Linked DNA regions of Sus scrofa. The protein of the gene in region 2 purifies or fractionates together with the protein of the main gene of each other region. This does not show direct contact. Links are inferred from orthologs where the notes say so. Each region holds a gene or a part of one and is shown on either strand. Other genes may lie near its edges.

Evidence for each region.
Region 1: the proteins of EPC1 (region 2) and MRGBP purify together in Homo sapiens (affinity purification with mass spectrometry; 6 studies listed by BioGRID and IntAct, counting the BioPlex papers as one, with this or other methods). This does not show direct contact. The link is inferred for Sus scrofa from reciprocal best matches to the Homo sapiens genes EPC1 and MRGBP.
Region 3: the proteins of EPC1 (region 2) and H2AFZ purify together in Homo sapiens (affinity purification with mass spectrometry; 4 studies listed by BioGRID and IntAct, with this or other methods). This does not show direct contact. The link is inferred for Sus scrofa from reciprocal best matches to the Homo sapiens genes EPC1 and H2AZ1.

Annotation. Positions count from the first base shown.
Region 1 is NC_010459.5:62,056,924-62,061,207, reverse strand, and holds the start of MRGBP (MRG/MORF4L-binding protein), read right to left. Parts: upstream 2,808-4,284; 5' UTR 2,743-2,807; coding exon 2,595-2,742; intron 2,155-2,594; coding exon 2,033-2,154; intron 1-2,032.
Region 2 is NC_010452.4:42,850,022-42,853,531, forward strand, and holds part of EPC1 (enhancer of polycomb homolog 1), read right to left. Parts: intron 3,075-3,510; coding exon 2,915-3,074; intron 1,640-2,914; coding exon 1,463-1,639; intron 1,384-1,462; coding exon 1,294-1,383; intron 1,211-1,293; coding exon 1,062-1,210; intron 1-1,061. UniProt on the Homo sapiens protein: Component of the NuA4 histone acetyltransferase (HAT) complex, a multiprotein complex involved in transcriptional activation of select genes principally by acetylation of nucleosomal histones H4 and H2A.
Region 3 is NC_010450.4:120,562,304-120,566,530, reverse strand, and holds H2AFZ (histone H2A.Z), read right to left. Parts: upstream 2,780-4,227; 5' UTR 2,595-2,779; coding exon 2,592-2,594; intron 2,149-2,591; coding exon 2,071-2,148; intron 1,789-2,070; coding exon 1,675-1,788; intron 1,337-1,674; coding exon 1,207-1,336; intron 930-1,206; coding exon 868-929; 3' UTR 508-867; downstream 1-507. UniProt on the Homo sapiens protein: Variant histone H2A which replaces conventional H2A in a subset of nucleosomes. Nucleosomes wrap and compact DNA into chromatin, limiting DNA accessibility to the cellular machineries which require DNA as a template.

The DNA.
Region 1 (4,284 bases), on a different chromosome or scaffold from region 2:
CTGTGGCGCACACAAGCTCCTGAGCCAGGGATCAAACCCGAGCCAAAGCAGCAACCCGAGCCGCTGCAGTGACAACACCCGATCCCCAACCCACTGAGCTACCAGGGAGCTCTTAAACGTGACTTTTAAATTCAGGAGCAAACAACAAACACAGGTAACGGTCTCGAGGCTGCAGTGGGCAGGTGGAGGGGGCCGAGGCCGTTTCTTTCTCTTCTACGGTTTACGAGGGGCTGGGCTTGTCACACGGAGCCAGACAAGGCAAAACCACAGCATGAGCCACCAGCATCAGTCACGAGAGGGAAGACTCTGGGTTGACTGTCACCTGAGATGGGGCCAGGGTGCCCAGTCTGCTGGCACACCTGCAGGGCCAGAATCAGGCTGCAGCTGTCCCGCAGGCCTGGCCCGGCTGTGCAGGCTCCGGGAGCACGCGATCCGAGGGCCGTGACAACCCTGCAGAAAGGCCATGGGGCTCCCGTCTCACCCATGTGGGCGGGCCACCGGGGTGGGAAGCAGGTGAGTGCAGGGGAGCAGGCACCGCCGATGCTCAGCGTGTTCCACCTGGCTGGCAGCTCGCACCTGCCGGACCGGACAGAGACGGTGGAGACGCAGCCCATGGGACGAAGGGAGAGCTTAGCTGGCAGGAGGGACTCAGGGTTGGGGGCGATCAGGAGACACTCGGGAGCCGTGCTCATCACCAGGCGGTCAGCGTGTAAACGTGCTGATCGGCATCGAGGAGCTTCAAAACCCGAGGGTTCCTGCGCCCACGGCACCTTGCGGGTGGGGTTCAAGGCCCCAGGTGACCGTGACGTCAGCCCCACAGCCATGCTAGGGTGCGAGGAAAAGAGAGAAGGGCCACTGTCCCGGGCTGAAAGCCCTGGGTGCCCCCGCTGCAGTTCCCTGAGTGTCACGTGGGCCCTGTGCTGGGGTCACAGCCATGGGATCCTCTGGGCCAGCAGCGTGCCTAAGAACCATCTGCCTCCCCCAGGTCGGGGACCCTGCCACTCTGATCTCTGGGTCCAGCCAGCAGTCAGGGCTCAGGACGTGCCTGGGGGCCAGGTGACCTCACAGTGTGACAGGTATGCGAGCCCAGTCAAGCTGTGGAACCCGGGAACTCACGGAGGGCAAGGCCCTGACCAGCAGGCATGGCCCTTTGGGTGGGCCTGGTGTAGTTTAGCGGCCAGTTCTCGAGTTTCTAGAATGCCTACTGCAGGCCAGGCGCTGGTCCCAGGACACAGTGGTCACCTTTCTCTCCTCCCTACACCAGGACGAGATGTGAGTGCCACGCCCAAGGCCAAAGGGAGGGAATGGCAGTGAGGTTTCTGGACCCAGACGGCTGGGGGTCTGCTGCCCCCTTTGCCCACACGCACCAATTCTCGCCTGGGGGCGTGAGGGGAGATGGAGCCTTCCCTAACCCAGCACAGGCTCCCACCTCACCGGGCACCTGCCACCCGGCTCCCACCCACTCTCCAGACACCCTGGCCTCCTCTGCGTCCTCTGATGCACCAACGCCTGCTGCCACAGAGCCTTGACACCTGCCGCTCCTCTGCTGGGAACGCCACTGGTCTCTTTGGCCACCCTGTTCCCCTAGTTCATCTGCCCCGCTAACGACATGGCTCAGGGGGGGTTCCGTGAGGCCCGGGTCCCTGCCTGCCTGGTTCTACCAGCAGTCACCAGTGTCACCTTAACCTGACTCAGACCCTGCCACCTCCCTGCCTACAGCACTCTGGGACTTTCTGTAAGACTGACAATGGCCTCAGAGCCCCTCCCACAGGCCTCAGCTCCTCAGTCGTCTCCTGGCCAGGTCCTAACTGACCCCTCAATTGCAAGTAGGTGCCATGTGATAACCAGCTACCGTCACTAGGTTTGTGTTTTCTGTAAAACTGCTCGGAGCTACCTTGTTGAACAACTGGTCCCCTGCGGGGCAGCCCAGACGTCAAGTTCCCTGAGGACAGGGCCTGGTGTAGACGCAGGGAGGCGCACGGAGGGGGCTCTCGGCCACCACCTGTCTGGGGGAGGGTGGGGGCCAGCTCACCAGTGCCTGCATGTCGTACATGGTGCTCAGGTGGTCCCAGATGACCTTGGAGGGCACTTGCCGGCCGATGTTCTGGCTGAACTTGTCCCGGATACAGATCATGTGGAAGTGCCGGTTCACACCTGCAGGGGGAAAGGGTCAGCCCGTGGGGGCAGACAGGTAGTTTGGAGAACAGACGTGGGGGTCAAGGGGAAGAGAGGGGAGAAGGCGCAGGGGGAGACGGGGGCAGTGCTTGGAGGGCGCGGGGGTAGAATGGGGTTGGTGGCAGGTACAAGGGGGGAGAGGAAGAGGTAGGGGTCAGTGGGGGAGGAGCAAAGGGGGCAGGGGTGCAGGTGAAGGCAGGGGTCGGCCGGCGTGGGGGGGTGGGGGCGGGAGGGGGCAAAGTCGAGCGGGGGAGGGGACTGCAAGGAGCAGGCCGGGGAGGGGCGAGCAGGTGGGGGCAGGGTGTGCAGGGGTGCAGGCGCAGGAGGCCCCGCCCCGCCCGCCCCGCGCGCGCCCCCGGCCGTTGCCGGCCGCCCCGCCCCCACGCGGGTGCGCGGCCTCGGCGCGGCGCTCCGCTCACCGACGGGCTTGTGGCCCAGCATGGCGTGGAAGAGGCACACCTCCACCTCGGGGCTCCACACGACCGTCTCCTCGGCCGGGCTGGTGGCTGCCTCCCCGGGCCCCTTGTCGCCCGCCGCGCCACCGCCGCCCACCTCGGCCTCCCCCATGGCCCGGCCGCCCAGCGACGAGCCCCCGGCGGGAGCGGGCGCGGCCACGGGCTCCGCGCAGGCGCACTCGCGGGGCGGGCGCGCGCTCGGCGGGCTCGCTCTGGGGTTCGCGCGCGGAGTCGGCGCAGGCGCAGCTGAGGGCGGGGTCGCGGCGCCCCCTGGCGGCCAGGTCTCTCAGCGCAGCGCCGTCGGAGCCTGAGGAGGATGAGAGGGACTGAGGATGTAAACGCCCTAAATTAAGTTGTGGCGATGGCTGCACAGCTCTGGGTAAACCCCGCAGAACTGTGCGCTTTAAATGGAGGAATTGCAAGTTACACCTCAGTAAAGCTGCTAGGAAGAAAAAGAACAGGCAACTGACAATGCCCGCGAGTGTGGCTCCAAGGGCTTCAAAAGCCCCTGGCTGACCTCTGGCCTGAGTGTGGAACAGAGCGGCCCCCGCGCGCCGGGGCAGAGGCGTCTGGGCCCCGCGCCTTGACCGCGGGCCTCAGCCTAAAGGGCAGGAGGGCCCAGGCCGGAGGGGGCGGGGTTAACCCCCACGGAGGGGCGGGGCCTGGGCGGAGTCTGGCCTGGCAGTCCTGTGACGAACTCAAAGAAGCACCCAATGGAGGCCGCCGGCTCCGCCCCGGCCCGGCCCGGCCCCGCCCTCGCGGCTCCCCCCGCCCCTCTCCGCTAGGCCACGCCCACCGCGGTGCCAGGGCTCTTGCCCAACGCGCGAGCGCTCTTCACCTCCCGGGTGTAGACTCCCGCGTCGGGCTTCCGGGTCCTCTTCCGGCTCCGCGACCTGCTAGTTCTGTGAGCGCTGCAAGGTGCTGGACCTCTTCAGGCCTAAGCTTCCTCCTCCGTGCAGTGGGGTTACTGATGGGGCTTGGTTTCTGGGTGCCCCAGCACAGGCTCGGGCGTCTTAGCAGACATTTGGAGCCACAGCGGTGAGCGCTGCCCCTTGGCCGTGTGGGCTCTGGCCAGCCAGTCACCTCCCGGTGGACTCAGAGCCTGAGTCCCGGCTTCCCATGCTGGTGCCCACAAGGTGGGAAGACGCGGTCAGCAGAGCCGGCCGTCCTGTGAGCCATGTTATGGCTGGACGTTGTGATTCCATTATTATTATTATTTGCTTTTTTTTAGGGCTGCACCTGCGGCGTATGGAAGTTCCCAGGCTAGGGGTCGAATCAGAGCTGTAGCTGCCAGCCTACACCACAGCGGGTGTGAGCTGCATCTGCAACCTAGATACCACAGCTCATGGCAACGCCGGATCCTTAACCCACTGAGTGAGGCCAGGGATCAAACCCGCATCCTCATGGATCCTAGTTGGGTTCATTAACCGCTGAGCCACAAAGGGAACTCCCTAAGTTGGGATTCTTGCCAGGTGTGTCTCCTCCCCTCCCTCTGACCTGCCAGCTGGGCTCACCTCAGGGTTGCTGCCTGTGGGGAGGAAGCCCCAAGCCACTTACACACACGAGGTGTAACAGATGGAGGCCTTTCCCTTTAATCTCCTTACAGTTCCCGGTGTGTGTGTGTGTGTGGGGGGGGAAATAATCAATAAGCAAT
Region 2 (3,510 bases):
CACAGCAATGTGGGATCCAAGCCACATTCATAACCTACACCACAGCTCAGGGCAACACTGGATCCCTGACCCACTGAGCGACGCCAGGGATGGAACCTGAATCCTCACGGATACTATTCGGATTTGTTTCTGCTTCACCACAACAGAAACTCCGTTTTGTTTTAAAAAAAAATTTTTTTTTCACATTTACTTGAGTGTCTTTGTCTTTCTTTGCTTTTTTAATTTCCGTAATTTCTTCCTTCCCCACACAACCTCTCACACCAAGGCATCTATAGTGTGAAGGGCTTCATCAGGTTTAAACAAAGAAGTCCAGACAAGGCGATATCAAGGCTTGTGAATCCTGGAGCCTTTCCACTGGGAGTTAACTCAGTATACTAGTTATGTGACATTCCTTAGCCTATTTAATCCTTTTCCCCCAATGTCTCCCAGAACTCCTAGAACAATTTTGTGTAGTCTCCTTAACTTAATACAATTTATGTAATTATGGTTTACACTTGCCTTCATCTGCTGCCTTTTCTCAGAGTTCTATCTCTTAAGAATAGATATCTGAGGTTTACAATCTCAGGAAGAAAAGCAGATCCATTAGGCAACTATTAGTTATGCATTAAAAGCTATGGCTGAATAAGAAATAGGTATCAGGAGGTCCCGTTGTGGCACAGCAGAAACGAATCCACCTAGTAACCATGAGGTTGCAGGTTTGATCCCTGGCCTCGCTCAGTGGGTTAAGGATGCGGCATTGCTGTGCAATGTGGTATAGGTCGTAGACGCAGCTCGGATCCTGTGTGGCTGTGGCTGTGGCTGTGGTGTAGGTCGGCAGCTGTAGCTCCCGATTTGACCACTAGCCTGGGAACTTCCATATGCCATGGATGCGACCCTAAAAAAAAAGAAAGAAGAAAAAAGAAAAACAAAGAAACAGGTAGCCAGTATTTTAGTCCAAAAAATTGGTTAAGAACAGCAGGTGGGAACAAATGAGCTCTTTAGACAGATGACCTCACTTTAACTTGAGATCCCCTGACCCCGCCACCTAAAACATCCCCATTGCAAGAGTACAGACACCTCACCTTCCACCGCGCCCAACCCGTCTTCGTGCAAATCCAATGCACCTCGGGGGTACGGTCAGGGTGGTTAAGCAGTATCGGTATCGCACATCCCCCAATCCGCCATCGCCAGGACTAGTCCAAGGCCAGTTGCCAGTTTGGTCTAAGTGAGGCTTAAAAAGAAAAACCCCAATTATTTTTCTTGGTCAGCGAGAGGTAAACAGTCTGTCACTCGAGAAGAGAACTAGGAACTTACCGCATAGTACTGACAGCCTGCCTTCCGACGGAAAGCAAAGGGGCCATCGGGGTCATTCTCTTCCTCAGCTTCCGAAGAGCCAGACAAAACCTTTCAATGGAAGGAAGCCAGTCAGAACGTGTGCCTCCCATGTTACCGCCTGTGTCCGCAGAGAACCCTCGCCACTCACCTGGGACAGAGGCTCTTCATCCGAGCTGGGGAAGTCGTACTGATTCAGGTCTCTAGCGCTGAAGGGCGGCAGCGCGGCGGGGCTCGCCTGTTGAGGGGCAGCAGCAGCAGACGAAGGTAAGACTTTGGGCTTCTTTTCATATTTACGTTTAGGTCGGGTAAGATCGGCTTTATCTTGCTGCAATACAGTCAGGAATTAAACACTAGAAACCATGTTCAACAAACTGAAAGTTCTGGGGAAGTCTTAAAAATAAGTTCACTGCTAAAATGAAGGCCTTTCTACCATCAGAGACACAAGACCTTTACGTTTTGTCGTCTTACACTGTAAAGTCTCAGAGGCTGGTCTCTGTGAAAACATAAGTATGTTCCTACAACCTAAACATAATCATCAAGTACTGTTTCCATTAAAGTCAAAGTTCTCCAGCCTCTGAGATCTTGCAACTGCAATTAGTTTTTACCACTGGCTCTTGTATCTTTTTCTTAACTTCTATGAAAATGCTAGGGCAGAATTTTTCAAAAGGGATGCCTAGTCTTTAAAAAAGTAACAAATCAACCCTGGAAAAGCATTAATTAAAACAATTTTATATACACACAGAGCAAACTTCAGATAACTGTTAGCATAGTGAAAAATAAATTGATGATGCAAAAGTATTAAAAAAATAAAGAGTACATAGGTCACAACTGTGGCGAGGCTTCAATCCCTGGCTGGGGAACTTCTGCATGCTGTGGGGGCGACTCCCACCAACACCCCCAAAAGTCAAGAGTAGTAAGGACTTGCTGGCTCAACAACGAAAGCTTTTTGGAGTGAAAAATTGTGAGCAGTTTTAAAGGATAAAGATATGAAATCATCAGATAGGGAAATGCAGGGATAAAAGAGAGAGAGGCAAGAGTGATGGAGTGAGGATCACAGTGCCTATTACAAATGAGCATAGCAGGTGATGGCAGAGGCTGTGGGGGTACGAATTCCATGTGTAGGCAACAGGCAAGAAAGATTAGAGGCACAAATGATATTTCCTGGGAAGAAAAGAACATGGCAAGTATCATGGTTGTATAAATATGCTAAATATTTATGTCAAGTTTCATACAATTTATGGCATTAAGCTTTTTAAAGAAAAGTTAATTATTAAATGATGAAGTATTTCTCTTTATGATTTCTAGTGCTGTATCAACAGTCCAGTCTTAAATCAAAATCTGGTTTTAAGAGTAGGGTTTATATATATACATAAACATACATATTTCTTTTCCACTCTGATTTTTTTTTTTTTTTGCCATACCCAGGGCATGTGAAGTTCCTGGGCCAGGGACTGAACACTTGCCACAGCAGTAAAGCAGAGCCACAGCAATGACAACTTCAGATCCTTAACTGGCTGAGCTACCAGGGAACTCCTCATTTTGAATGTAACGATAAAACACCACTAACATTTTCAGCTATTATCAGAGCAATTTTTATCACCTTATTAACTTTAAACTCCTTCACATCCATGGCTTCCTGGTGTTTAAACTGACTGCTGTTGCTGATGGGGATGGTGGGGATGGTGTAAGTAGGTTTCATTGGCTGTCTCTGTGCCATAACCTCAGACATGATCTCTCCATTGTAGTCACCCAAATTATACCTGAAATTATAAAAAGAAAGTTTAAAAAGTTAGTTCTACACATACTTATCCTCATGACTACTAACAGCTAACTGAGGTATAACTGCAAACACTGATTAGCCTTAAGGTAAGATTACAGTTAAACCTTGACTATTTGCTGAATGCTTATTAAAACTACAGATGACATAATTCCTATCATTTCTTTCTTTTACTTTTTGGCTTACAGCTTTCTCTCACCATTAACAGATAACTGCAGGAAAAACCCAAAGGTTTAAATTTTAACACAGCAATTTTGGTGAAAGATTTGGGAGAGATGTTGAAATTCATGCCTAAAACAGTGCTGAGGAACTTTCTACTATTTTGAGTTGCCTCTGCTATAAAACTACTTTGGCTGAATGAATCGTAAGAATTTTTTTTTTTTTTTGGCTTAGGGCCACACTTGCAGCACATGCAAGTT
Region 3 (4,227 bases), on a different chromosome or scaffold from region 2:
AGGGGAACTCCAACCTTGATTCTTTTCTGTAAAAACGGGATTAGATGGTGCATACTGAACAGTTTAATCCAGGTAGCCTTTGAAACAGTGGGAGAACACAGGAAACACTTCACTGTTTATACTGAAAGTACCTTCTGTGGAGGTAGCAATATACAGAACTTCCCTACCTGCCCCAGTCCATGACAGTGCTCTGGATGTAGTGCTGCTGTCACAAACAGCAAGTGCAGCGACAAATTGAGATGATCAAATTTAACCTAAAAAACATCACCTTGTCCAGTTCCAAGCTCCTACTGAAGTTTTAAAATCTTTAATAGTTCATCTCATAGCATTAAAAAATATATATATGCTTTAGCCTTCGAGGTTTGTTGATCTACAAAATTAACATTTTAATTTCAAGGTAAGAAACGTGCTTATTAAGTTATTGCTGGATAAGATAGTTATTCAAAACAAAAGTTGTTCCCATCATAATCAAGTGAATTTAATACACAACTAGTTTGGGATATGACCTTTATTGAGCTTATCCACCGAAGTGGAAATAATGTCTGTACAAAACCAAATGTTTGTTACTATAACTTCTGCATCACAATTAAAATCCAAACAGTTTTTTAAAAACAGTCAACTCAATCAAAACCCACTACTTCAGAATCAATAGCTTCTTTGAAGCCACAGTAACACTTAAATATGGTTAAGACTCGAATGCAGAAATTTGGTTGGTTGGAAAGCTAATTAAACTTCCAACTTGCTCAAATAGAATTACAAAAAGGCAAAATTGTGTTTTTCACAGAGATACAGTCCATTGGAATCACCAACACTGGACAGCTGTTAGAGTATTTAGAGTCCTGAGATAATAAGGAATCCAGGCATCCTTTAGACAGTCTTCTGTTGTCCTTTCTTCCCAATGAGAGATTTGTGGATGTGTGGAATGACACCTAGGGGAGGAAAGGGATACTTTTAAATATACATTATTTTGAAAATTAACACAGGACTTCAAAACCATGACAGTTTAACGTTCAACTTCGAAGAAGTCTTTAAATGTGAGGCCAGAGTATGCAGAAGTAAAAATTCACTAAGTTATATACAGGAATCAATTTTCATGATGCAACCATACTACAGATCACTGAAAATAACACTAAGTGTCCTCTTCTAGTGGGGGAAAAAAGTAAAGAATTATCTAAAGAAATTAAAAAATTTTTAGTATTTACATACCACCACCAGCGATTGTAGCCTTGATGAGAGAATCCAATTCTTCATCTCCACGAATAGCAAGTTGCAAGTGACGAGGAGTAATACGCTTTACCTTCAAGTCTTTTGATGCATTTCCTGCCAATTCAAGTACCTAGAAGACAGAATCTAATCAATCTCCTGCCAACTTTCCTTAGGATCAAGATCCAGAAGAATCAAACCTTCGTGAACGTGTATCTACCAACTGCCGTCTCCCCCCACTACCTGAATGGCAAGATATGCAAAAGCTATAAAGGGGACACGCAATTTTATTTCCTAAAGCAGTCAACTCAAGCTCAGGAGGAACCCAAAATGAACACCAGCCCCCTCTAGCGTTGTCAGAAGCTTCTCACCGCGTTCAGAGCCTGGGAGTTTTCTTGCATCACTTTCCTCCTTCCCTCTCACCGCCTCCCCCCACCACCTTTTCCAGATTACAGGCGTACACCCATTTACCTCTGCGGTGAGGTACTCCAGGATGGCTGCGCTGTACACAGCGGCAGTCGCGCCCACACGTCCATGGCTGGTCGTCCTAGATTTCAGGTGTCGATGAATACGGCCCACCGGAAACTTCATTTTTCGCATACACAAACACAAATGCACAAAGATAGAGGAGCCAAAAATGGTCAAATTATACGCGCGCCAAAGCAAGGGGCACGGAGGCTGATGCAGCAACGCGCCCTAGCATCGCCACACGTGATCGCCCCCCCTTCCCCAATATTTATTGTATCGGTAAACCAAGTCCCGACACCATCACCACGCAAAGACCAAAAGCTCATCTAGTGCAATGATAAACAGAGAAAAAGGAGAGAAAAACGCCGCGATTCCCAGACAGCAGAAACCCCCACTGACCTGCAAACCGGCTCTCTGCGAGCGGGAAACCGCCTTTGTCTTGGCCTTTCCGGAGTCCTTCCCAGCCTTACCGCCAGCCTGCGGCGCGCACACGCCCGCGAGCGAAGAAGGAACGCAGAATACAGGATTACCAAGGCGGCGCGCCCCTCCCCCACCGCGGGGCGGCCCGGGCGCGAGCGGGGCCCGGTGCCCAGCCGGGGTCTCCGGCCCGCCGCGCGCCGCAAGGGCGACCCCGCCCGCCTGCCCCCCGCTGCGCGCCCGCCGCGGCCGCGCGCTTCAGGCCGCCCGCTCACCGCCCTCCGGCTCCCAGCGGCGCTGCGCGCGCCACCCAACCGTCGCCGCCCGCCGCGAGATCGGAGGCTGCTCCGCTCGCCGCCGACAAAACACCTCCCCCCGCTCTTCCACATCCTCTCTCCGCGCGTTCCCAACCGTCACCGCTTCACCCCCATCTCCGTGTGTAACGGGTTTTTCTCCTGCCGGCAAAAACCCGCGTAGTCTTCGAGCGCCTCCGCGAAGTTTACCATTTCGAATTCTGCTGAAGCTCAAACAAGCAAGGCAGAGAAAGGACTAGTCAGTCACCAAGCGAGATCCCGCCGCCTACTCCTCCGTCGCACCGCGATTCAAACTGCGCTGTCTCCCGCCTTCCCCGCTCCCTTTATACTGCAGAATGTTCCCTCATCCGGGAACTCGGATTGCTCATCCCACCAATGGCTGCCACCCGCCCTCGGGCCGCGTCCTTGAAGTCTCAGCCAATGAGCAAGCGAAGAAAAGGGCGGAGGGGCGGGCGCTTTGCAGCTCGAGCTGTTATTGGGGCATGAGAAGGAGGTGGGGGAGAACGGAGGGATGGGAACCCGGGAGAAGAAGGGCACAGCGGCGGGAGGGAAGAAACAGAGCGAGCTACGCTGCTTGAGCAGGGCACCCGCCGGCTTAGTCACGTGCCTGGAGGGAGGAGCTGAGAGGCTCAGGGGAGGGGCACGCAGTAGCTGCCCCCTATTCCACCTTTGCCTCCTTGCTCGGTTCCAGAGACCTCGGAAAGCGGGGACTAGCACTCCCTCCTTCCTGCCCTGCCCTCCCTCCGCCTCCGCCCCGTTAGAACACCTGGCGGGCAGAGACCCGCCTGTCCGCAGCCTTCTTCCGGAGCACGGGGTACCTTCACCGACCCCCCTGCATTCCCGTTGACACCTCCGGTCTGACAGGTGGCGCGAAGGCGTCCAGTGAAAGGCGCCCCGACTCCTTCGCTAACCATAGTCTGGGTAGTGATTTCGCGTTTGTTCCTCCTAGGCAAGTGCCCAGCCACCGATTCATCACGACCCTCTGCTCCCACTTTTTCAGCTGTATCTCCTTCCTCTTCTTTTCTCAGGACTTTTTGAACCCCCTACCTCCCCAACCCCAACAGAACAGTTTCATGGAAAAGACGGTGAAGCAAAGTCACCTCGCTGGTCATAAAAGACCTTTTGGTCTACCCACTGAAGGCTTGGGCTGAGGCGGTATTCTTTAATCAAATCATATTTTTCTAAAGACTACACGTCTGTGGGTTGTACCTATAGCCTGGCTTCTAAAGTTGATTTAGTGAAACATGAAGGCTATTATGTGTCAACTCTTCTATGCTAAACATTTTGCTACTTGACAAATGTTCGGTAAATGTCCTCATATGATTCACAGGCAGTTACAGATGGTCCATGTAATCAAATGCAAATGATGGGCTTAAAAAAATAGTACTGTACACACAGTACTATCATAATGCCAGCTACTTAATTTTCCAACTAATAGATTAATAGCACCTCTGTACACGTCCAGCTGCTTGGAGACAGTAGTGATCCAAATCTTTCATACTTGGAGTTTTAACAGTAATTACGTTATAAACATAATTCAGTATTTCTGACATTAAGAAAATTTGAAATATATACTCTTTAGTACTGTAGTTTGGGTTTCAATCTGAAAGTTTTATCAAGTTTTTTTGGAAATTTGCTGTTAATTTTAAAATTAAAAAATTGGGAGTTCCTGTTGTGGCTTGGCGCTAAAGAACCCAGCTAGTATCCACGAGGACGCGAGTTCAATTCCCGGCCTCACTCAGTGAGTTAAGGATCCTTGGTTGCCCTGAGCTGTGGACTAGATGGCATGCGTGGCTGGGATCCTGCATGGCTGTGACTGTGGTGT